4 linked regions of the Drosophila melanogaster genome follow. The protein of the gene in region 1 interacts with the protein of each later gene in a pairwise test. Each region holds a gene or a part of one and is shown in the gene's direction. Other genes may lie near its edges.

Region 1 (6,149 bases):
ATTAAGACTTAATTAATTAAAAACTGCAAGGGTATGCCGGCCGCCCAGCATCTGCAGCAACGTTGGCAATTGTTTGCATTTAATGCCCCCGGCTCAGAGCCGTAAGTACCACCCCGTGCTCTTCCAAATGCACTCGAAAAAAAGGATACTCGAATGAATGCCTTCATAAAAATATCAGTTTAATTAAATTAAATATCTTGTAGCAAATATAAAAACTAGTTGTAACTTATAATTCCCTTATTTTTCCAAAAATTTCGCATTCAATCAAAATATTATAGCACAAGTTTTTAAGTCTTTTCTTGCTTTTTCGTCAGGTGTGGGGGTAAAATTAAAAGAAGTTTACGCAATGTTTGCATAAAATGCACGCAAAAATGTCCCGTCAGCTGCTGACCATCATTTTCCGTAGGTGTTCGACGGCGACTTGTTTTTTGTTGCCGTTTTAAGTGCTTGAAATCCGTTGTGTTGACTTTATTTACCCACGCACACCCGCCGTTTGTGACCCCGCTTTGTCTTTATTTTCCATCCCCGACGCACCGCCATACCTTGGCATGTGGACGATGCTCATGCTACTCCTCCGCCTCCTCCTTCGCTCTGCTCTGGACATGTGTATGGACAACATTTGACAACAGCGTGCTTGGCCATCGGATTCCGGAAGTGCCGGTGCCCTTATTCAGCGTTTATCCGGCCACGAAGCATGCAATTACGGCCCTCTGCCAAACGGTGCGCCAGGAAATACATTTTCTCAAATTAAATATTAAATTAACGGTAAGTTAAATGCAGTGCATACATGGCGCGCCTCATCCTCCATCTTAATCCTCGGGAAATGCGGCAAACATGACGCGTCTGCTCATTGGTTACCCTCTCCATTTTTATCCCTCCATTGCAGAGCATTTGCCCGGGCATGGTAGACACGGATTTCCTTAGTGTTTACTCGCAGGCGGTAGCCGAGCTGCCCAAACTGCAGGCAAGGGATGTGGCCAAGGCCGTGTTGTATGCGCTGAACACTCCCGATGGCGTCCAGGTGGAGGACATCATCCTGCAGCAGATGCGGAAGGTCGATTGAATTTTAGTTTGAATTTCAAGAGAATTACATTTTACCCAAAACGATATTATTTGTACATTTTGTATATGTTCTTCTATGTAATAAGAGAACAAATGTACATATTTTTAAATATAAAAAATTACATTATTGCATTTCAAGCAACTGTTTCGACACTTTATATTCTTTAAGATGTTATCTGTAGATAACATCTGTATTAACATCTTATTACAAATAACATAAAAATGCAATAAAACGATAATTAAACATTTATAATATTTTGCATATTCTCTAATCGATATAACATTAAATGCGTGTAAATAGTTTGGCAACATTATGAATGCATTTATACATTCATTCATTTGAATTGGAATTGCCCGCGCATGTAGTGGAGTTGCCACCTTGCGGTAGGGCTGCCAGATTGAGTCAAAAGACCAGGGCTGTACAGCTATCGCTAGCGAGTACAACAACCACTCTTGATTTGGCTCGCTTCGCTCTAGCAGAGTTATCCACCAAAACATCGATTACTCGTGCTACCCCCAAAATCGATGGTACGAAACAAACATCGATATTTCACAGCTTTCGCTTATTGGTCACACTGGGGCTTATGATTAAAAAAAACTGAACTGACTCCAATAAAAACGTGAGGTAGAAAAAGCGAATTAGGTTGACAATTAATACACACAGCAGACGCACGGTAACCAGCCGCCAATACCGATACGAACGCGCGGCGGCAACAGCAAGTGCGCAAGTAAAAGTCCATATCAAACGCAAGCTACCCGCAGCCGCGGGCAGTTAAATTCCGAAATGCGTCCACGTAGTGCAAAATCCGAATCTCAATTCGAATTCGAATCGGAAGTCCGGATGTCTGCGCCCTTTTTATGCTTTTTTCGAGGGTGCGGCTTAGATCGGCGTGCACCTGCCGTCCAAAGTGTGATTACGAAATGTGCTCCAACGTGAAATGATATTATAAAGTATAATATAATGCATGTTACCACGTAGTTGCACACAGACAGGCAGCACACGCACACACACGCGCACACCCAGTGCCACTCACACACACACACAGACAGTGAGCGAGCGAGAGGGCAGGAGGCAGAGAAAGAATGAAATAAAGAAAGTGCTGCCCAGTTGACAAAGAACAGGTTTTAACCTAATTAACTAAATAATGGGCCCAAGTGAATGTTTCGCCGCCAGGAGGAATTTGCTTCCTTATATCCGCAAGGTCCCCGCCGCTCGAGTGTGCGTGTTGTTGTATGTGTGTCAAGGTTCCGGAAGTTGAGCCGCCGTAAAATTGATTTCCTATACACCAAGCCGCTGTTGCTGCCGCTGCTGTTGTTCTTATTGTGTTTCTGTGGCTGGACATTGAACTTGAGTCGAAATGCGCACTAACCCATTATCCATGCCATATCTCTTTTCGATCCGGCAGCCGTCTAGCCCAGCAGCTCTCTTCCCCCCACAATAAACACACACAAGCTGCTCTTGGAGCCAATCACCCGCAACCGATAGCCACACGAAACCATCAGGATGTTCATCTGGGACTGGTTCACCGGAGTGCTGGGATACCTGGGTAAGCAACGTCGCCATTGCCGACCTTGTGCCTTGGGGCGGCGTTTCTTGAACGAGTGCCAACAAGGCAGCCGCACAAAAGAAACCCAAATTCGACGGCTGTACAGCGGAGGTCGTGGTGATAGCTCTAAACGTGCGATTATCTCGAAATCTAGAGGTTAAACTGTGTCTATAAGGTGTCGAAAGCTTATAACTTTCCATTAGGTCTCTCTATCACAACAAATGCGCGTTGAATATGCATTACTCTAGGGTGCATATACAATATACACTTCTGTAAAAGGTATTTTGATTGCATAGCCATGTACTCTTCAGCCACAATTATTTAAGCAGACATTTTTGATAGGGTTTTCCTCGCTTCCAGATGGCTGCTACACTTTTATTTGCTTTGTAATGCTAAAAGTTAAAATTATTCCATACGAAAAGTACTGTTCTACAGTGCAGGCCAAACTGATAGCAGTTGTTATAAGCGCATTTTTGTTATAGCTTGATCTTTAATCAGGTTAATGATAGCCGAACATTTTGGGTAGCAAAGGTAATAATTAGCCCGAAGTCCAAGAGCTATTGTCTCGACCTCAAATGTATATTCGGCTGTCTGTGGCTGGGCAAACACAAGTGAGCCGCCACTAGTGTTAGTTTAGCTGCGTATATTAATTGATGACGCGTAAGTCAAAAGGCTATTCAACACACTTTCTCGTTTTCAGGTCTGTGGAAAAAGTCTGGCAAATTATTGTTCCTGGGCCTGGATAATGCTGGCAAAACCACACTCTTGCATATGCTCAAAGATGATAAGCTGGCGCAGCATGTGCCCACACTGCATCCAAGTGAGTTTCCTTCATGGACTAAATAGTGGTTATGTGTGTGACTTTAATTAACTAATATGATTGACTTGCAGCATCCGAGGAGCTGTCCATCGGCAACATGCGCTTCACTACATTCGACTTGGGTGGCCACACTCAGGGTAAGTGCCTAATCTTGACCAGAGCTCAGGGGAATGTGAATGTGCATCCAAATCGTTGCTATTTTCCGTACGTGCCCACGACTAAATATAGACCAGTATGCAAATATCGCAGGGCTAAGCAAGCGCAGCCGCCAGATCCACGACAATCAGCATGAAATATAGCGCATCAGGTCACCCATACAGCCAGTGCGTCTTACACTCGTAGCATTTGTTGCGATCAATCAGCGCCACACACTCGAAGCAATGCCACCACAGTGGTCACAAGCAGCTCATCCAGAGATCTCAATTATCATCTTATCTCAACTGTGATTATGAAGACCTCAGAATACTAGAATATTTAACCCATTGCATACAATCAATATGTTCATTTATGTTTAGAAAGCAATTAGTGTCTTGTTGATTTTCGCAAATACTATCTTCCTTACCACTGTGCACATATAGGCGACGTATTTATTATTAATATTATGAAGGCAAACATTCTCTATGTAGATAACAAACAGAAACGAAAAACTCGCATACATGCAGTTGATATATGTATATAAATATGAACATTATGAAAAGTGATCAAACATCGTGAAATCCAGTTGTTTTGATAACGAAGCTCTAGCACTCATTTTAAGGCAGCTCGTCATCGTGACGATCGTTTTCGCTTCGGAACTACTAGGTACACTAAAGTAGAAAGGTTCTTAGCGGCGGAAAGATATCAGATTTGTGCCTGATATCAGTGACTTGCGCTTTGTTATTCTAGCGATGTTATATAAATTACAGATTGTTGGTCAACAGCAGCGACTACTAAGGTGCCCTTGCAAATCTTGATTCAAAAATCGGAAGACTAACCCATCTAAAGACTAACTGCTGCTTTTGTATTTATGAGACATATCTACTTATTTCTGCAGCACGACGCGTCTGGAAGGACTACTTCCCTGCTGTGGACGCCATCGTTTTCTTAATAGACGCCTGGGACCGTGGCCGCTTCCAGGAGAGCAAAAACGAGCTGGATTCGCTGCTCACGGATGAGGCGCTGTCCAACTGCCCCGTGCTCATATTGGGCAACAAAATCGATAAGCCCGGCGCGGCTAGCGAGGATGAGCTGAGAAACGTGTTCGGACTGTATCAGCTAACAACCGGCAAGGTGAGCACCAAAACCACCTCCCTCCCTCCCTCCCTCCTTACTCCTGCTACATAATTGATATCCATTTGACTTGCAGGGCAAAGTTGCACGCGCCGATTTGCCCGGCCGTCCTCTGGAATTGTTCATGTGCTCCGTGCTGAAGCGACAGGGCTACGGCGAGGGTTTCCGTTGGCTGGCGCAGTATATCGATTAAGTCAGCATTAGCAACCACCACCAGCACCATATTTTCAAGAACACCACTCAACACTCAAAACCGAAAACTTGGCTACAAAATTTCCAAAAATGATTAGAGACCGCAGAAAGAACAGAACCCAAGGGATGTGAACCCAGCCCAATTCAAACCGTCAGACCTTAAGCAAAACGAAGCTGCGTGCGCAATTTCTAATTTATACAAAACAATTACAAATATTTCATAATAATAAAAAAAAAAAAACAGAAAACCATACAATGTACATCTGTAACACACAAGAAATCGCGGGAAAAACAGAACACAACATCAAAGTGAAGACAACTTTTCTATCTGGAACATCGGGATACATTGTAAGGAGCTGAAGGATGCGCGGAGTGCGCAAGGGAAACTTTTAATAATAATTATGAGTAACAAATTATAGCAAATTAAAGGTGATTTATTTAAGAGCATGTGCTTTCAACGAACGCTGTTTCGCCAATAAAATGTAGCCACCTACCTTTATTTCAAGTTTATGAATTGTAAATGTCGCTATTGATTTCCTAAATAGTTTACTTTGGCCGCAAAACATTATGTACATCCCTATAAGGATTCGACCTCCGATAAATGGTACACCTTAGTTTAGCTAAAAATTTTAAGTTGCATGTCATCGATGTACTTTGTTTCTTTTATACAATACGAAAGGGAAAGCAATTTATATAAAAAAGCATTTTTGTTTGCAGACAGAATTCTAAATAAAACGGAGAAAAGTAATTTTGTAAAATACATAAATTGGTGACTATTGTTGTTTTGCATTGGATTTATGTGCCGAGCTTGAATGAAACCCAGCGATGTACAAACATATTGGATTCATTTATTTATTTGCATTTAGGGTTTACGCTAATGAGTCACGTCCGGAGCATCTATTGAAATCAGGGAGCAGGCATTCGATGAGGGCGAGCACGGGATCCAGGAGCTGCAAACATGCTGGTCCAAGTAGAAAAATACACAAAACTCTGCAGAGTATGATCGCGACCTCAGTGCTAACTGAGCCGGCAGCGGCGGGGCAGTCCTCTCAGCAGCATCAGTTGGCGTTGAAAGAGGCGCATGAGCAAGCCCTTGCGCTTGGCCCGCTCCCTGGATCAGGAACGCGATGATCCGCCCATGGAGCCGGACCCGGAGCCGCCGCCAGCCATGCGCCGCTTCTTTTTCTTCTTGGCCGTCAGACTCTCCTGGCCGCTGTCCGTGTTGGAATCGCCGCCATCGTCGCTCTCCTCCTCCTCCG
Region 2 (7,246 bases), on another chromosome or scaffold:
ATTAAAATTGAAACAATGCTCGAGTGATCGCAGTTGTAACGCCTAAAACCGAAGCTAAACCCGAAAATAAGCCCGAAAGCCAGTTGAAATGCCAAGCAAACGTGACAGAGACTTGGATTATTCGTGCTAATTAGAAAAAGAATGTGCTGCTAGGTGAGAGGATGATATCGAAATGCTAACGTGATATCGATACCTGTGTGTTGTGCGTGTGTGTGCGAAGGGAGTGTATACACATACATATGAATATCACACATTTCACCGGAAAATGCGGTCAATTAGAATAATACATACAGCGAATTGAGCCTGTGTCTGTGAATTAGTGAATGAATTGAACAAAGCATTGAAAATCAATACGAAACCTGCCGCCGCTCCCACTTTTGTACATACAGTAATGCGTCGGTGAAGTAATACTCGATTGCGGGAAATCTGGAACATATACTAAGTTCAATCATTTGAAATTGGTTAGATTATTAATTTAAATAATTGCCTAAAGAGCTTCAAGGATGTTATTTTCAATTAGATTACTTATTTGAGGGTCCACTGTATATCCGCGCTCGCACATTACTGTGAAGCCTCACCTGTGTGAGTGCGGCTTATAGGCGACGTGTGTGTGTGTGTCTGAGAGAGGCTCGTGGAATATAAACAGCGCACAGTGAGAGAGGAAAACGGAAAACAGGTGGAAAAGAAAGCTTAAAAAATGCGGTCGGTCAAAAACTAAAGTTGCAGCAACAGGCGAGGGGGTGGCGGGTGCCGGGGGGCTCGAGACACGGAGACAAATACCTTTTCAAGCCGCACACACCAGCGCAAGCAAAGACGTCAGCTTATCTGCCACGCATGCGCGCGAGGGGGACGACAATAGTGTGGATCGGGGTGTCGATGTCTCTCCACCCCCCTCCAGCCCACCACCATCTAACGAGCGGGTTTCCACCCAAAGAACAGCAAAAACAACTATTGTCATTTGTTGTTTTGCCATTTGCTTCGTAAACCAAAAAGTATGCGAGATAAAATAAAAAAGCAAGTGTACCGCACGCCGCCGTTTTATCTAAATCCCAGCTGTCTGAATTATTTGAGGCTCTAACACCCCATCTCACGCTTATCAGGACCCAATTAATTATCTTCACCTGAATGGAAGCTATGCTTGGGGCATGTCTCCAGGTTTATGGTTCTTGTCGGGGAGTTCTTAGATACCAGTGCAGTTATGTATCTTAGATTGCCTTACCGAGGCTTATAATTTTCCCCTATTTACAGATGCATAGATACATATGTGTGGATTGCAAATATTTCAAGATTATAGAAGTACAAAAGTAGTAATACTTATATTATAAACATATATGTATTTCATTTAGCATAATGTTTTTGTAGATGTTTATGATGACTTAACTTAACTTCAAATCACCCAGCAGCTTTAGTACTTTCTCTAAAGCATGATTTATGCAAGCCCAACTATTTCCATGTTACCCAAGTGCGATAATGTTTATCGCGTTTCGTCATTGGCCTCTAAGCTGCTGTAGAGTTAGGAGCGAAAACACAAATCTGTCAAATTCCACAAGTGTGATGCAATTTGGGGCTTGTACGAACAGTAAAACGCTGAAATATAACACAGCGGCGCAACTTAACGAAAACAAAACATTTCCAGGGGTGTAGTGGGTCAGTGTTTTCTTTTTTACGTGCACTTCGCTTGTTTGTTTACTGCGATTTTGGCTTGTACAAGATCGTAAGCAGATAGTGCCTCCAGCTGACCCCCTCTGCAGTTTCTCTTTCACCTGTTTGCAAGTACACAAGCACCCAACACCCCCTTTCCCCTGTCCATTGACCCTGCGACACTGCTGGATTGATACACTGAAAACAATCGACAAACTTGGGGGTGTTTCTATCATGGAAAATGTTGTTAACATTTAAAAATGGTTAGAACTACATTCTAGAGACTTTCTCGCCATAGGATTATTATAATGATTTTCAATATCTTTATAAAAACAGTAGCGATTTTTGCTTAGTGTAGATAGGTATGCGACACCGCTGCCCGCGTCGCAGTCGGCGTCTGAGCCCAGCCTAAAACAGCGGAAAAGTTGTTGCTGTCACTTGAGTCGAGGGAGCGGTTTGGATAGAGTCTGCGAGGGTTAGAGCGAGAGGGAGCGAGAAAGTGTGTTTGCAAATCTCAGTTTTACGTGTGTGTGTGTGTCTTTTGCAGGTGTGTTCACTGGCTACACAGAAAAAATAAGAGAGATTTATCCGAGTGTTGAAAAGAATGTTACTGTGACATAGAACCATAGTTGGCCTAATTTTTGAAGATAAGAGCTATTACTCTACAATTACTCTCTATTACATCTACAATGCAATACAATTTGCTGCTGTTAATACAAATAAGATGAATATAATCGGAAGTAAACTATCCAAAGATATTCTCTGTGTAGTCAAAGTGGAGACACCGAGCTTAGAGGAGAACCTGGGGAAGTGGAAGTAGCGCGATTTTTGAATTCCAATGCTGATCCAAGCCAACAACGAAATGTTAAAGTTTGAGAATAATTGCGGCCATGTGCGGATCGCTTGGAGTGTGTATGCCAACGCTAGTGGAGGCTTGGAATCGGAATGCGGTCTGAGTCAGAGACGATTGGCTGCGCAATATCCAAGTGGCTTGGCGGGATTAGGGGCCTTCGGATGCAGAGGGACTTAGTCTCAGCTGCACAAAATAAACACAGCATAATGATCTAACACATACTTTAGGACCAATTTTCGTATTCGACACTCATAAGATTTCAGCTCGAAGACTCGGTCAGCGGAGGCTTTAAGGTCTTGAGAGACCAAATTGGGAACCAGACTTCCAAGGGGCTTAACCACACCCCTGCCAATAGGAAATTTAGTTTTGGGAATACTATTCTAATCAAGTTAAACATGTTTTTCGACAGCAGTCACGATATAATGTTTTAGTCATTGGAATAAGCGATTAAATGGGATTATTAAAAGCATACACATAATTCTAAATATTATTTTCAAATGACGATAGTTCAACTCGACCTAAGAAGCAAAAGTATAAGTTGGTAACGATCAAAACTTTTAATCAATGTTTAAGCTACTAAGTTCATCATTTAAACGGTAACTTATATTTTAAACGAATCAAAGACCGATATACAAAATTGTTGACGATGATGATGATGTGAAAAAATTTTATTTTTAGACGGAGCTTCAGACGTCGATCGAAGCCTGTACCGGGATTGGGAGACACCATGGTGAACCACCACTCGAACGGAGGCGGCAGTGCTGGAAACAGTAGCGGAAGCCTAAGAGGAGGCGGTGCCCATGGAGGCGGCGGCGGAGGAGGAGACTATTCCGGAGACGATCGCAGCGGAGGCGGCGAGGAGCGGGAGCGTCTGGAGAGTGACTTGCACGACAAGCCCACCTACCTGCTGGAACACCTGGCCACCTTCACGGTCAACAAGGAGTCCGGCATTGTGTATCCGGCGGACGGAATGCGTCGCCTCCTTCAGCTGGAGAAGACCACGGGTATTTGGTCGCAGAAGATGCAGCTCTGCCTGGACTATCAGTGGGTGCTAATTATGGACTATGAAACAGGGGTACGTTTCACAAACTGGGAAAGATCCTTATGGAACTCATCTTCATCCTTGCCTTACAGAACATAATCGAAAGATTCCCCGCCTCCTTGGTTCAGGAGCCCACCGCATTCACCTCGAATGACGCCATGGAGCTATACAACAACATTCTGGTCTTTATCGTATCCGGAGGCGGTGGTTCTCGCTCCGAGATGCACATATTCCAGGTGAGAATTAGTGAGGCTTCTGTCTCATGACAGTTTCATTCAAATGATTTATCCCTGCAGTCACAAAGTGTGTCCGCCGTTCACCTGGTTGAGGATCTGAAGCAGCTGAGAAGCGGCAAGATGATAACGCAGCAGCGCGGTGCCACACCCACTCAATCAGGAGGCGGAGGAGCCTCCAGCATGGCCATGATGATGAGCAAAACCTCCTCGTCCTCGTCGCATAGTAGAGTGGAGCTGCACCAGCACAGGGAGCAGCGGGCAGAGCGCGAGAGGGAGCGTGATCGAGACCGTGAGCGCGAAAGCCACCATCACATGCACCAAAGGAGCAGCATGGAACAGTATGGAATCCGTGCCGGAGTAGGAGTTTCTGGCGATGACGTTGCCCACATTAGTGGCGAGACGGATTCGGAACACGGTGGGATTGGGGGCGGTGGCGCAACGGAGCGCGATGAGACTAGCTCCACGTCCAGCGAGAAGTACGAGCGGGATGTGGCTGTGCTGAATCACTGTTTCGATGACATCGAGAAGTTCATAGCTCGTCTTCAGCACGCCGCCGCCGCTTCCCGGGAGCTCGAGCGCCGTCGTCGCAATCGGAAGTCGAAGAAAAGGGATCCGGGGGAGGGATTGCTCACTTTGAGGACACGGCCTCCCCACGAGAAGGAGTTCGTGGACATCTTTGCCAAGTTTAAGCTGTCATTTAACCTGCTGGCAAAGTTGAAGGCGCACATCCACGATCCCAACGCTCCCGAACTGGTGCATTTCCTCTTCACGCCGCTGGCTCTGATTGTGGAGGCCTCCAGCGACACGTACTACGAGTCACAGCTACCGGCCCGTGTGGTTAATCCCCTGCTGACCAGAGAGGCCATCAACCTGCTCATCAACTGTGTAACCAGCAAGGAAACGGAGCTGTGGCGCTCGTTGGGCGATGCCTGGGTGATCCCGCGAGATCAGTGGAAGGATGACGTTGGATCCTACCATCCGGTCTTCCTCGATGGCTGGTCACCGGACTATTTGATCAACGATGAACTGGAGCCACCACCAAATTCCCCGCCCGCTCATGTGAGCAAGCGCAGACTCGAGGTCCAGGCTGGATCCGGACTAAATGGTCGTGGGGGAGGCGGATACGATGACTACGACTCGGGGAACGGGATGAACATGGCCATGGGTATCGAGAAGTACACCATCCACCACGGCAACGACGGTTTAAGGGAGCGGGAAAGGGAGCGCGACAGAGAGCGGGCGGGCGCAATCAGTGCGTCTGACTTTAACGCCCGCAGCGAGCTGTCGTTCGACTCGATCGAAGGCAGGGGCGGCGGAGCAGCGGGACATGGCCATGGTCATGGCCACGGACCAGGAGCTGGACCAACCCTTAGCGCCATCACAGCTGGTCTGCAGAATCTGCATACGAGGGAATCTCGCAGTGGAAACGGGTACGGAGCAGGAGCTGGTCCGGGGCCTTCGTCGGAGTTGGGCGGTGGAGGCAGAGGCCTGCCGAATGTCAGCGACGACCAGATGCTCGAGTCCTGGCTGGAGGATCTGCAGGCGACGGGCGCTAAGATTGTGCTGGTCACCTATCCGCGAACCGCCAACAACGACAAGGAGCTTAGCGTGATGCGAGGCGAATACTTGGAGGTAAGGCCAGCACCCACGTTACCATCCTTCGTTCTGTCCTATAACCATCTCTTCGAAACTTTAGATCCTTGATGATACCCGAAAGTGGTGGAAGGCGCGCAACATGCGGGGTCAGGTGGCCCACGTGCCGCACACGATTGTAACCCCCTTCAATTTCGGGGATGGAGATGGAGCCCAGTTCTACGGGCAACAGCAGCAGCCACCGACGGGTCCCACAGGTCCGGGCAACAAATCGCGATCAGGGGTGAGTAAGGCTGGTCACTCAATTCATGATGGGACTTGCTAACCGCTCTACATTACCCAGGATAATCCCGGCATGGAACAGCGATCGCCGGATCCCACCGACATGATGCGCAGCAAGCATCTGGGCAAGAAGGGCGAGTTCCGCTACTTCTAGGATCGAGATGCGATCACCATATACATATACACATATTCCGTAGTGAGGATCTAGCGTTATAGAGAGACAGACATCAGCAGTTCCGTCTAGGATGCTAGTCCTGGTCACTAGCGATCGGATTGGCTCCAATACCTTGCACTCGCTCGCAGGAGTGTGCAAACCAGAACTAACCTTAAGACTAACCTAAGTGGAGCTCCAGACGGGAGCTGTTGAGCAGCACGTGGCTCCTGCTGAGGCGGATGCTTAAGCTGATGCTCATCCAGGCGAAAAGGGGAGGCGACGGCAATAATTTGTTTTAATAAAATTATATCCAAAGGAACCTGCCTATTGGTTGATGATTATTGAGGAGATTGTAGTTTGGAGAGCTGCTTTGCTTTATTTGGATGCTCACAAGAAGAAGTTAACTGGTGCTGTACGGTGATCAAAGCCAACGATTGAACAAAGAGCATACTACGAGAACTCGAATCGATTAAATGATGGACAACTTCTCCACGCGGGCCAGAAGCGGAGAATCGGAGTGGTACTCCAGGCTCCGCACGGCGAAGTCGCCCACTTCGTTGGTGAAGCACTTCAGAGTGGATATGGAGAAGGGGCGTCCGGGAAAGTTGTAGTAGGTGAAGTACTGCCCGTTGACGGCGATCAGGAAAGCCCGATCCCCGAGCCCAAAAGCGATCTTGAAGAGCTTTCCGCGCACAAATGGGAATTCGCCCTCGGTCTCCTCGTCGCTCAAGGCAAAACTAGAATAAGTGAGTAAAGGTGAATTCTCTTGGAGGAACTTTGCATATTGGAGTCTCGGACTCCTTTATACCTGTTGTCTTCACGCTGGTAGCTGCGTGACACGGTTGTCCGATCGAAGTTCACGTGGAACCGGAGCACCGTACGCCCGGTGTCGTTGCACTGGAAGCAGATGGAGAACTCCGTGGTCGGCGGGCCCTTGGCGATGCACTCCATGGCCACCACTGTGCCGGTTTCATACCGCCTGGGCACGTCGCTCTGGAAGGCCACCTTGTCCGGACACATGAGCGTTCTGGGGAAGACGAGCGGAAAGAGCATGCGGTGGTGGAACTGGGTGATCTTCTCGAAGTCGCCGTAGGTGCGCACGTAGTTGATTTGCTTGGGGAACTTGACGAACTCGAAGGACCCGTACAGCTGGTCGTTCACGTAGATCTCGAAGCATCGCTGCAGCACCGCCACCCGGAAGGTGAAGCTCTGGCCAGGCTGCAGCGGGTTCTTTGGGCCGTCGCACTTCCAGTTCTTCGAGATCTCCTCCTGCTGCCATCCCCCGCCCGGCTGGAACATGCTGCGGATGATTTGGCCCTCGCGGAAATTGGCCTCGATCTTCAGGAACACCGTTTCGCTCTCGTTCTGCGCGTTCACATTGTCCGTGAGGTCCAGCGAAATTCTGTCCGTAATTCGAGAGGTGTCATTAGTAAAAAGTATTAGAT
Region 3 (4,119 bases), on another chromosome or scaffold:
TTGGGCGAGGCGAAGGAAGCAACGGAGATCCCAGCACCTGGAGAGGCGCAACCAAATCCAGATCCAGAAAAGAAAGCGGAGGCTGTGTTTGAGAATCGACAAAGTTACTTCAAGGTGGATAATATGTCATTGAGCCACTGCCGTAACTTATATTCGCCTTTTCCTTAAAGCTTAAGAACCCGCGAGCTGTAAAGTCCAGCAGCAAAGTGAACTACTGCATTGGCTGCGACTTCAAGTGCTATCAGGTACAGAAAATGATCGAGCACATGGGCAGCTGTGAGCCCTCCCATTTGATTTGCTCGCTGTGCGAAGTCGGCTTTCTGGACTGGCGGGAATACGACACTCACCTACGACGGCACTCTGGTGATCTGCGTAAGCCCTTCTTTTGCTTACAGTGCGGCATCCGCTTCAACACACGAGCTGCCCTGCTCGTCCATCAGCCTAAGCATTCCACGGAAACGCCGCACATATGTCCACATTGCGGCAAGGGCTTCAAGTGGAAGCAGGGCCTGAGCAATCACATCCTGGTCCACAATCCCGAGAAGCAAATGCTCTGCGACGTCTGCGGCTATAGCACCACGCACATGAAGGCCCTCAAGTCGCACAAACTGCTTCACACCGGAGAATTCTTTGCGTGCACAGTTTCAGGCTGCAAGCATCGAGCCAATCGCAAGGAGAACCTCAAATTGCACATTGAAACTCACAAACAGGGTCGCGATTTTATCTGCGAGGTCTGTGGCTGCAAGTTCAGCCAGAGCAAAAACCTCAAGCGTCACGCCCTCAAGCACACGGAGAATGGTCCGAACCGCTACAAGTGCCAGCTGTGTGGATTCAGCAGTCATCGCTCCGACAAAATGAAGGAGCACGTGCAGCGGGTTCACACAGAGAAACCGGTGCAGTTGGAGCTCTCGGAAACGGTGGACAGTAGCTTTCCCGATGACTTTGAGCTTCCCGTGATCGAAACGTCACCCAAGAAGAAGCCAAAGAGTGTTAAGAGCAAGACTATAAGGAATGTTAATCCTGACAAGCGACTGAAAACACTACTGCCCAAGGAGACTGTAGAATAGGAATAAAACGGAAGGTTACCCCATTCATAACTTCTCAGAGAAAGAGATTTGTGAGGCAAAGGTCAATAGTAAATATTTAGAATAACTATGTTGAAAAGAGACTGTATCAGCAAGTTTAGAACATTTGCTATATTTACAAAATGAGACGTGGGATCTCTCGTTCTGAGTTCTAGTACAACAAAATTGTATCTAGAATATTCACGGAAACCCAGTTTCTTTTTAAAGCCATTAAAAAAGAACCATCGAGAAATCTAAAGATTGATTTGCTACCAACGAATTGTAAATAAAGTGGTATATTGTGGCAGGTTCTTGAAACAACATTGTTGAGGCCGTTCTATCTTATCTAAGATGGTGACTACGATCTATTGCGTCGTTTGAAGACGAACTTTCAGAACGAATACCTGCCAAATGACTAACTAGAGCGATAGTTAGCACCTTATCAACGCCAGAAGGCTATGTATATATGTATGTACGTAACATTTGTTTATATAAAATCCATTAAACCAAAACAAACTGAAAGCTTTTCGCTATTCAGAAATAAACAAATGCGTTGCCTGGTGGGAGGGAAGTGGGTCAACCGATCAGGTTCTAATGCACCAAAATAAATATCCATTATGAGTATATCTTTTGTAAATCAAAAATGTTATTCGAATTATAATTATTGCTAAATTGTTTCTTGTGCCCTAACATTCAAATATTGTTGAGTGTAAAAAAATAAACAAATTTTGAGCAGTGTATCCAGAACATATGATGCATTTAATTCTATATTTATTGGGTGGAGAAACAAATGCAGGGTAAATGCACTTTGATGGTCGTTTGCGGAGGGCCAAGGTGGGTGTGTGTTATGTAACCACTCAGGAACGTGTGTATGCTTAAAAGTTCTTAAATTATTAAAATAAATGAACAAGGCGAAATAATATGTTTGGCGATTTCAGTTTTTTTGTTTACCGCGCACTTTGTAAACAGCAAAAAATTAAATTGCGCAGCAAAAATTGTCAAGGAGGCACTCTCTTGAGCGCAAAAGGGTTGTCAGGCCCAATAACTATGAATTTTAATAACTAAAAATTCTTTTACATAAAAAAGAGCAAATATATTTTGTAAAAGTTCAGTAGAAAGTTATAGAAAAATTAAATATTTTTAGTAACTACACGTAAGCAACAATTAAATGCCCTTCTAGTAGTTTCTTTAGCTAAATCCGGCAACTCTGACGGAGAGAGAGCTTTGGTTACGGAACAGAAAGCTTGCGCGCCTATAAAAGCCGCTGCTCGACCGAAAAAATTCAATTCCGTTCGCAGCTCAGCGAAAAGTGAACAAAAAAAAGCAGAAGAGAAATTTGGAAAGCAGCCTGCAAGTTTGCAGAGAAACAAAAAGCAGACACCAACCAAGAACGCAGTTAGTTTTGCAACCTTAAATCGCCATTATGTCCGAGGCCCACTTCGATGAGTACGAGCACTACAACTTCGACCATGACAAGCACATCTTCTCTGGACACAGCGGCAAGCAGCGCAACAAGAGGGAGGCCAATGAGCACACCAACCACTTCGATCCCTCCGGTCATTCCCGCAAGATTCTGACCAAGCTGATGAACACCAACAACAACAACAAGAAAGCCGCCGCCTGCAAGAACTGATGCAGGGCATCGACGGAGGCGGTGGAACAGGAGAGAAAGAAGTAACGGGGCCGCGCTGAAAGGAGAAAAGAAATCTTCGAATTTAAAAGGAAAGCAAAAGCAAAGGAGAGAAGAAAAAGAAGAACAAGCAGCAGTTTTGCTGGAAGGAAAGAAAGAAAAACAAAAGCCAGCTGGAAATACACATTGCATTTGTATTGTGCATTGGCTTTTCATGCGGCGCTAAACTTTGTGAACATTATAATAATTTTATTTCGCTTATAATTTCACAAACACAAAAAAAGAAAGGCACATACTACTCTTAGCTTCTAATATATTCCTAAACTAATTCAGACTTGCAAGTTTTAGTTGCTAAGCCTTAGAGCGTTTCAAATAATGAAGTTTGACTTAGGTAATACATATAAAATAAAGAGAAAACCAAAACTGAATAGCCTGGTCGTCTTATTTTCATTTGCATTTGCAGCGCACCTTTCCAAGCGAGAGAGCTTTTTGAATGCCGTTGGTGTGCTGTTGTGCATATTTATAGCCTTTTAGTTGAACTCATTTGCACTCAGCTCCTCGATTATCGCAAAAGCAGTTGCAGTCGACTTTTTTCTTTGTTTACAGCGATCGACCAAAAAGAGAACATGTATGAACATATTTATTTGTGTATGTAATGTATGTATGTTAGTTTGCAAACGGAAATATTCCCGAGACCTTCCATTGAAAGTTCACCAGTTACACAGGTAATTAAACTTGCACACACATATTCCTGCATCATTTCTTCCGGTTTAAATTTGCGTGTAAGGTTGCATTTATGAATATTGCGCCGCTTTTATTGACTTTCAATACTAAACGATATTTTTACATTAGGTGTCCAAAATTACAAAAGCTATGTTATTTTCCACTCACAAACAAACAAGCACACGTACAAAAATAAACCGAACAAACTTTTCCAGAAAGGTCCACTCTAATGGAATTCTCTCCTCTCTCTCGCTCTCTCTCTCTCTATAAACGCCATTTGCCGGCTTTTTGAATTGCGTTGTTGATATTTGGTAAACAATAAAACAGACTCTCGATCAGGTGGTTTTGCTATAATGCATATTAATGAAATTGTTCGAACATATTGACAATTAAAATTCCAAGACTCTTATGTATGTTTAAATTCGCATTTTGGTTAGTCATAAATATTCCTTATCTTCATTAAATAGCATTTCGTCTGAATCATTGATCTATCTAAAAATGTGGTGTTCCAAACTTCAAACAAATAGAAGGTGATGAAAAACCTGTTTTTTTATAAAATTAAACATTGCAATATATTGCGTGTTAAAAGTGCCTTAGAATCGGTTTTTTATTTTTATTAAATGTATTTCTAAATTAAAGATTCGTTAAACTCGCATTACAAAAGTAAAACAAAATCGATAGATAAACATTATCGCCGCGGTT
Region 4 (5,020 bases), 380 kb from region 1:
ATCTTCACGGTTCCGCGTGCCGTGCCAAAAGTATAGGGATCCGAGCCGGACGAGTTTGGCATCGCTGAATCATCAGAGTCGCTGTCCGCCTCTGTAGTATCACCAGTCGCGCAAATATACCGATGACTCCGATCGGTCAGCTGCACTGACCCCACAGTTGGGCTTTTATAACTCGGAGCGACGAGAATGACATGATAGGCTGGAGCAGCACGGGCTCGACCTTTGCACTGAACGTAACTGCGATATGTGGTTGGCGGATCCCAGCGCACAACCAAATTGCACTTGGGCACATCGATGCCCTCTTCCAGCACCGAAGTACCGATCAGGACATTGCAGTCATGCATGCGGAAGCGCTTTAGCACCTCTTCCTGCCGCCGGTGCTCCAACTCAGCCTCTTTGGGCTCCGTGGTGGGATCTGCCACCCGGTCCGTGGTGTACTGGCAGCGTAGGAACTTGAGATCGGGATCACGTCTGCTAATCTCCGCTAGAAGCTCAAAGAGCACGCGAGCCGTGTGGTTCTGGTTGCAGTAAATCAGTGCGCAGAGCGTGTCGCTGCCATCATTGTGATCCCGGTGGTGGCGCCTGGTGTACACACGTCTACGAGTTCGTGGTTGTGCAGTGTTGGCACCAGAGCTAGGTTTCGGCTTCGCATGAGCGGGAGTAGGAGTAGGAGTCACCCGAGCGGCGCTTCTGTTCGTCTGCCTGTCCTCTGTCGTGTGCAGAATCTGCTCAAGAGTGGCCACCAGGGCTCGTGTCTCCGTCGGCGGTTGGTCCATTTGATCCACCATTCGGCACTTGCTTTCCAGCGTATGAGATAACCGATTGAAGTCCGCCTGATCCACCTGATGCCGCATTCTGCGCAGTCCGTCCGCTTGGGTGTGCACCTCTTCCGGCTTGAAGCACCTCAGTGTCTGCAACAGACGTCGCACCTTGGGGCTGGAATAGCGTTCGATGGTCTGGCGTGAATCGCTGCCACTTCCTAAATGTCGATGGAATGCGTGTTCGCAGAGGGAGTACAGTTGGATAAGGGCCGTGCTCACTAGGCAGTACAGCAAGTAGTGACGTTCGTGCGGCGTCTTCACCTTTAACTTCTCATTGCATTGGTAAAAGTGATGTGCAGCCCGCTGCGTGCACCAAGGACCCATCTCGTGCAGCACGACCAGTAGTGAGTTGATGACGTTCAGGGGGTCCACCTTGGGATCGGGTATGTCTTTCAGTTCGTCCATAAACTGGTCTGTGCCGTAGATTTCGTAGGGATCGTAGCGGTGGTCCAATAAAAAGGACTTGTGTGTGTTGAGCACATCGGCAAGCACCAGGGACAGTTCGTCCATCTCGAAGGGGGCGCACTGTACGATGTATTCGTGCGGTCGGGAACAGTAACGCAACACGGTGACAATATCACTGGCCGTCTCGATCTGGCAAAGCACACTCTGCTCCAGGGTGGCCAGCATGGCGCTCAGTTGCTGCAGCTCACATCCGGCGCTGTGCAGCGGTCCAGCGAGTCCGAGAATCCGTGGCCTGTCCGCCGGTGGCGCTGGCATAATGTGATTCTCGAACAGAGGCCTTATCCTCTGATAAACGGCGCTGTCATGACAATCTTCCAGCACGATCAGTTCGACGCTGCTCAGCAGCAGCTCGCGAGTTTCGAGCAGATAAAGAAATCCCTCTGGCCGTAGGATGGAAACGTGATAGTCCGTCCAGCAATGATCAAAGGGAATTTGCATATCCGGCTGCTCCTGCCACACCCGCAGGTCAGTCAAGTGGGTGAGCATCGTGTAGATGGAGCATGGTTCCGTGCTGGTGCCAACCTCGCAACTGAGATAGACACTGACACGACCATGTCGGCGTGCTCGACGCGACAGCTCCTGGAGCAGCTTGAGGGCTATAAACTCCTTGGAACTTCGATGGCCCAGGCAAATAATCGTGTTCCGCTCGTAGGCGGTGGCCAGTAGCTCCACCTGAAAGTCGCGCGGCGTGAACACGGTGGTGTGCAGATTGTTGTCGCACCAGTGGAACGCCATCGTGGCTGAGGGGATTCACAAAAACACCACTGCCTCTGCGAGATTTCTATCAGAAAATCATCCAGAGCCGGCTACCAGCAGAATGCCAGTGTGACCAGGGTTCGGAATACCTTTCGAGGTTCACTTCATTGGCCACACTTACAAGTGGCTTGAAAATAGATTGCGCCTTGTATATTTATATTTTGTTGATAGCAAAAGTTTTTAAATTAACTTATGTATTTACGGTGAACTATACCCGGTAATCCTCTTCTTTAGCACCATAAAGCGGCGTTCCAAAGCTCCTTCCATGCGCCGCGCTGCAAAGCGAGAGAGCGAAGCGGCGCCTCCCAAAGAGGAACCACAGTCACCCTGCTCCTGGCCCAAAAACAATCTACCCAGCGAATGGGGCACCTCAGGGGGCACCCAAAGCCTGGGACCTCGAGAATTCAGGGCGGGCGAGAATCCCCTCAAAGATAGCCGCATCTTCCATGTGCTCTGGCGTAATCAGACCACCAAAAAGCACAAAACGTGGACTGGCAACGGAACGCTGGTGGTCACGGGATCCATAGTAACATTGAAGGATGACACCGGCAAGGTTGTGGACACCATGACATACTTTAAGCAGCGGCAACTTCAGGAGAACGATCAGCTGGAAGTAGGCAGCAAGGATGTCGAGATTCAGGAGGAGATTAAAACCGTCGAGGAGTGCCTTATTCAGCGCCAGTTGGAAATAGCCAACTGGTGCCAAAAAATAGATGCCCAGAATGGTTGTACAGACACATCGCCACCACCTGCTGACAGTGCACCCGTTAGGTCTCATCTGCTCAAGAAGATCAAGCGCGAGGCAGATGCCTTTGCTCCACCGCATTTGGAAATTAGCCAACATAGAGAAGATAAACATGTCTCCTATGCAGCCGCCGATTCCAGCACTTCGATGGGAAAGAAAATCTATGAACAAAACACTTTGAAGATAGAAAACCCTACCAAGGAGTTCACCCAATCGGAATATCTGTGTCTATTAACTCCAGCTGAACTGCAGAAAAAAATATTACTCTTTGTTTCTGAATATGCACAAACATCTAAAACAGTAAGATAGATTTAGACCAATTTACATGCATAAACAAATCAAAAAACTTGTATTTCAGGAATCGTCTACGTTGAAGGAAATCTTCCAAATTGTATGTGATCATCCTGTGCTCCTAAAAACTTTGGGTACGAATCCAGTGTTTAAGGAAATAATGGAGGTACTGGACGCCATACTGCCGCCTTGGCCAAGCATGGGACTTTACGACTCCGCCAAGTTCGAGTTTCTACACGTAATGCTGGATCACTTAGTGGCGGAGCGAGGCGAGAAGTGCTGCATCTTGGCAAACAGTGAGGATTGCCTCACCCTGGTCAGGGGATACTGTCAGAGTTATAGTTTGGACCATGCGCAGCTAGATGGTCCCCAAAAAGTGAACTTATTTAATTCTCTTGCCGATGGAGAACCAATGATTGGCTTGATTTTGACCAGTGACTTGTCGGCGCTTCGAGCTCTTCGCTGCAAACACCTAATTATTTATAATCACAATTCCAGGCAGCAAGCCAACCAACTGCTGGCCGTTGGAGCAATGGATACCAAAATATATACTCTCATCACAGCCGGAGGTTCTCCGGAGGAGTTGCAGTTCTATGGGCATATGGGTGATGATTCTATAGAAGATCTTCAGAATTGCCGCAGCCAGCTTATACCGACCGCATCTAATGTGAGTACTTCGAATTCTTATCATATTAATAAATCACCTATTGCATTGATAACCTATAGAATCTAGCGGACTGGACCAAAAGTGAGCCACCTTTTGACCGTGTTTTCTTTGAGGTGAGATTTGTATTACATTTTACTAACTTAAATTGCGTAAATCAATGTGACCTTACAGGAAACTGCTATATCGGATAGTCTGGATTGTATTCAACTGGTTTATTCAAGAAAAGTGAGAGTAAAAACTTAAACAAACAAAACGTTAACTTCAAGAATATAAATGTAAACAAAATTATTTTGTTGAACTAAATGCTTAGCAGTTGAGTTAACCTGGAAGATTTGTGCTTTTTTTTGGCCATAATTAGTTCTGAACTATTTCGCGGAATCAACCTTTTGAGAACTTAGTCCAAACTTAAGAACTCCTGCAGTTTTTCAATGCGAGTGGAGTAGCTATTTGTTTCCTCGTCGAAAGTGATTTCGCTGCAGGTGATAACGGACCCAATGGGATAATTTTTATCCAGCCATTTGATCTGCTCATCGGTGGGCTTCTCAGGCACTCCTACGAAAATCGAGTCATATAAATAATATAATTATCTTTGGAGAGCCTAATTACCAATTAAATCCAACTGTGTGGTCATTATAGGGAAGATAAACTGCGGCGGATAGGGACGTATGTCGGTGACATGTGTTGGCACTATGTTTCCGTAGTCAATGAACAAAATGCTGGGATAACCATCTCCTACTAACTCCACAGAGAGACCTCGACGCCATTTGCCTTCGTACTTAGCTATGCAAAGCTCATTTATCCTAAATGAAAGAGCGCTTTAGTTAAATGGACAAAAGAAAACGGCGAGTAACTTTACGGCGGTGCGTAGGTTGCGCACTTGGCAATCTTTTCACCATACTCCTGTATGTCTCGCTGCATTTTGGTGACTTCGTAAGCCAGATCTATGGAGGTGCAGTAGATAAAGCCGCACTGGATGAATGTGTTGTCCATTACCACTACATTTATGTTCTTTCCGCAGTGCAAGGGAATGTATGGAAGACACTGAAACCGAATAAATGCAAATGACAACTGTGTACTTGATGTTTTTTTAAGTTCTGGCTTACGTCCTCTTTGTATCCCAAGTCCGAGACAGACGGCTCAACAGGAGTTAGGATGGTCTTGAAAAGGCGGTTGAGGCTCCTATTAATATCGATCTCGGTCATCACCACGACCTGCATGCCCTTGCTGGTATCGTACTCACGTGACGAGTACTTGATATTAAAAACTAGGGACTGG

What was found.
Region 2: the proteins of Sar1 (region 1) and aru interact in a two-hybrid assay, tested with the Drosophila melanogaster proteins (one large-scale study listed by BioGRID).
Region 3: the proteins of Sar1 (region 1) and CG6770 interact in a two-hybrid assay, tested with the Drosophila melanogaster proteins (one large-scale study listed by BioGRID).
Region 4: the proteins of Sar1 (region 1) and CG6985 interact in a two-hybrid assay, tested with the Drosophila melanogaster proteins (one large-scale study listed by BioGRID).

The regions. Positions count from the first base shown.
Region 1 is NT_033777.3:22,355,063-22,361,211, forward strand, and holds Sar1 (Secretion-associated Ras-related 1), read left to right. Parts: upstream 1-1,622; 5' UTR 1,623-1,736; exon of another isoform or gene 1,737-1,985; intron 1,986-2,454; exon of another isoform or gene 2,455-2,468; 5' UTR 2,469-2,566; coding exon 2,567-2,609; intron 2,610-3,309; coding exon 3,310-3,429; intron 3,430-3,500; coding exon 3,501-3,566; intron 3,567-4,462; coding exon 4,463-4,698; intron 4,699-4,774; coding exon 4,775-4,891; 3' UTR 4,892-5,649; downstream 5,650-6,149. Other genes in the region: rdhB (retinol dehydrogenase B), read left to right, coding at 630-765, 887-1,063; JMJD6 (jumonji domain containing 6), read right to left, coding at 6,007-6,149.
Region 2 is NT_033779.5:860,721-867,966, reverse strand, and holds aru (arouser), read left to right. Parts: upstream 1-2,105; 5' UTR 2,106-2,140; intron 2,141-2,906; 5' UTR 2,907-3,058; coding exon 3,059-3,090; intron 3,091-3,172; coding exon 3,173-3,569; intron 3,570-3,628; coding exon 3,629-3,772; intron 3,773-3,832; coding exon 3,833-5,404; intron 5,405-5,468; coding exon 5,469-5,648; intron 5,649-5,708; coding exon 5,709-5,801; 3' UTR 5,802-6,118; downstream 6,119-7,246. Other genes in the region: CG13950 (uncharacterized protein), read right to left, coding at 6,271-6,538, 6,610-7,203.
Region 3 is NT_033779.5:12,044,344-12,048,462, reverse strand, and holds CG6770 (uncharacterized protein), read left to right. Parts: upstream 1-2,344; 5' UTR 2,345-2,487; coding exon 2,488-2,697; 3' UTR 2,698-3,120; downstream 3,121-4,119. Other genes in the region: Plzf (promyelocytic leukemia zinc finger), read left to right, coding at 1-114, 171-1,067.
Region 4 is NT_033777.3:22,739,010-22,744,029, forward strand, and holds CG6985 (uncharacterized protein), read left to right. Parts: upstream 1-2,140; 5' UTR 2,141-2,307; coding exon 2,308-3,087; intron 3,088-3,145; coding exon 3,146-3,745; intron 3,746-3,804; coding exon 3,805-3,858; intron 3,859-3,916; coding exon 3,917-3,988; 3' UTR 3,989-4,072; downstream 4,073-5,020. Other genes in the region: Dcr-1 (Dicer-1), read right to left, coding at 1-2,021; vret (vreteno), read right to left, coding at 4,140-4,297, 4,352-4,545, 4,602-4,786, 4,849-5,020.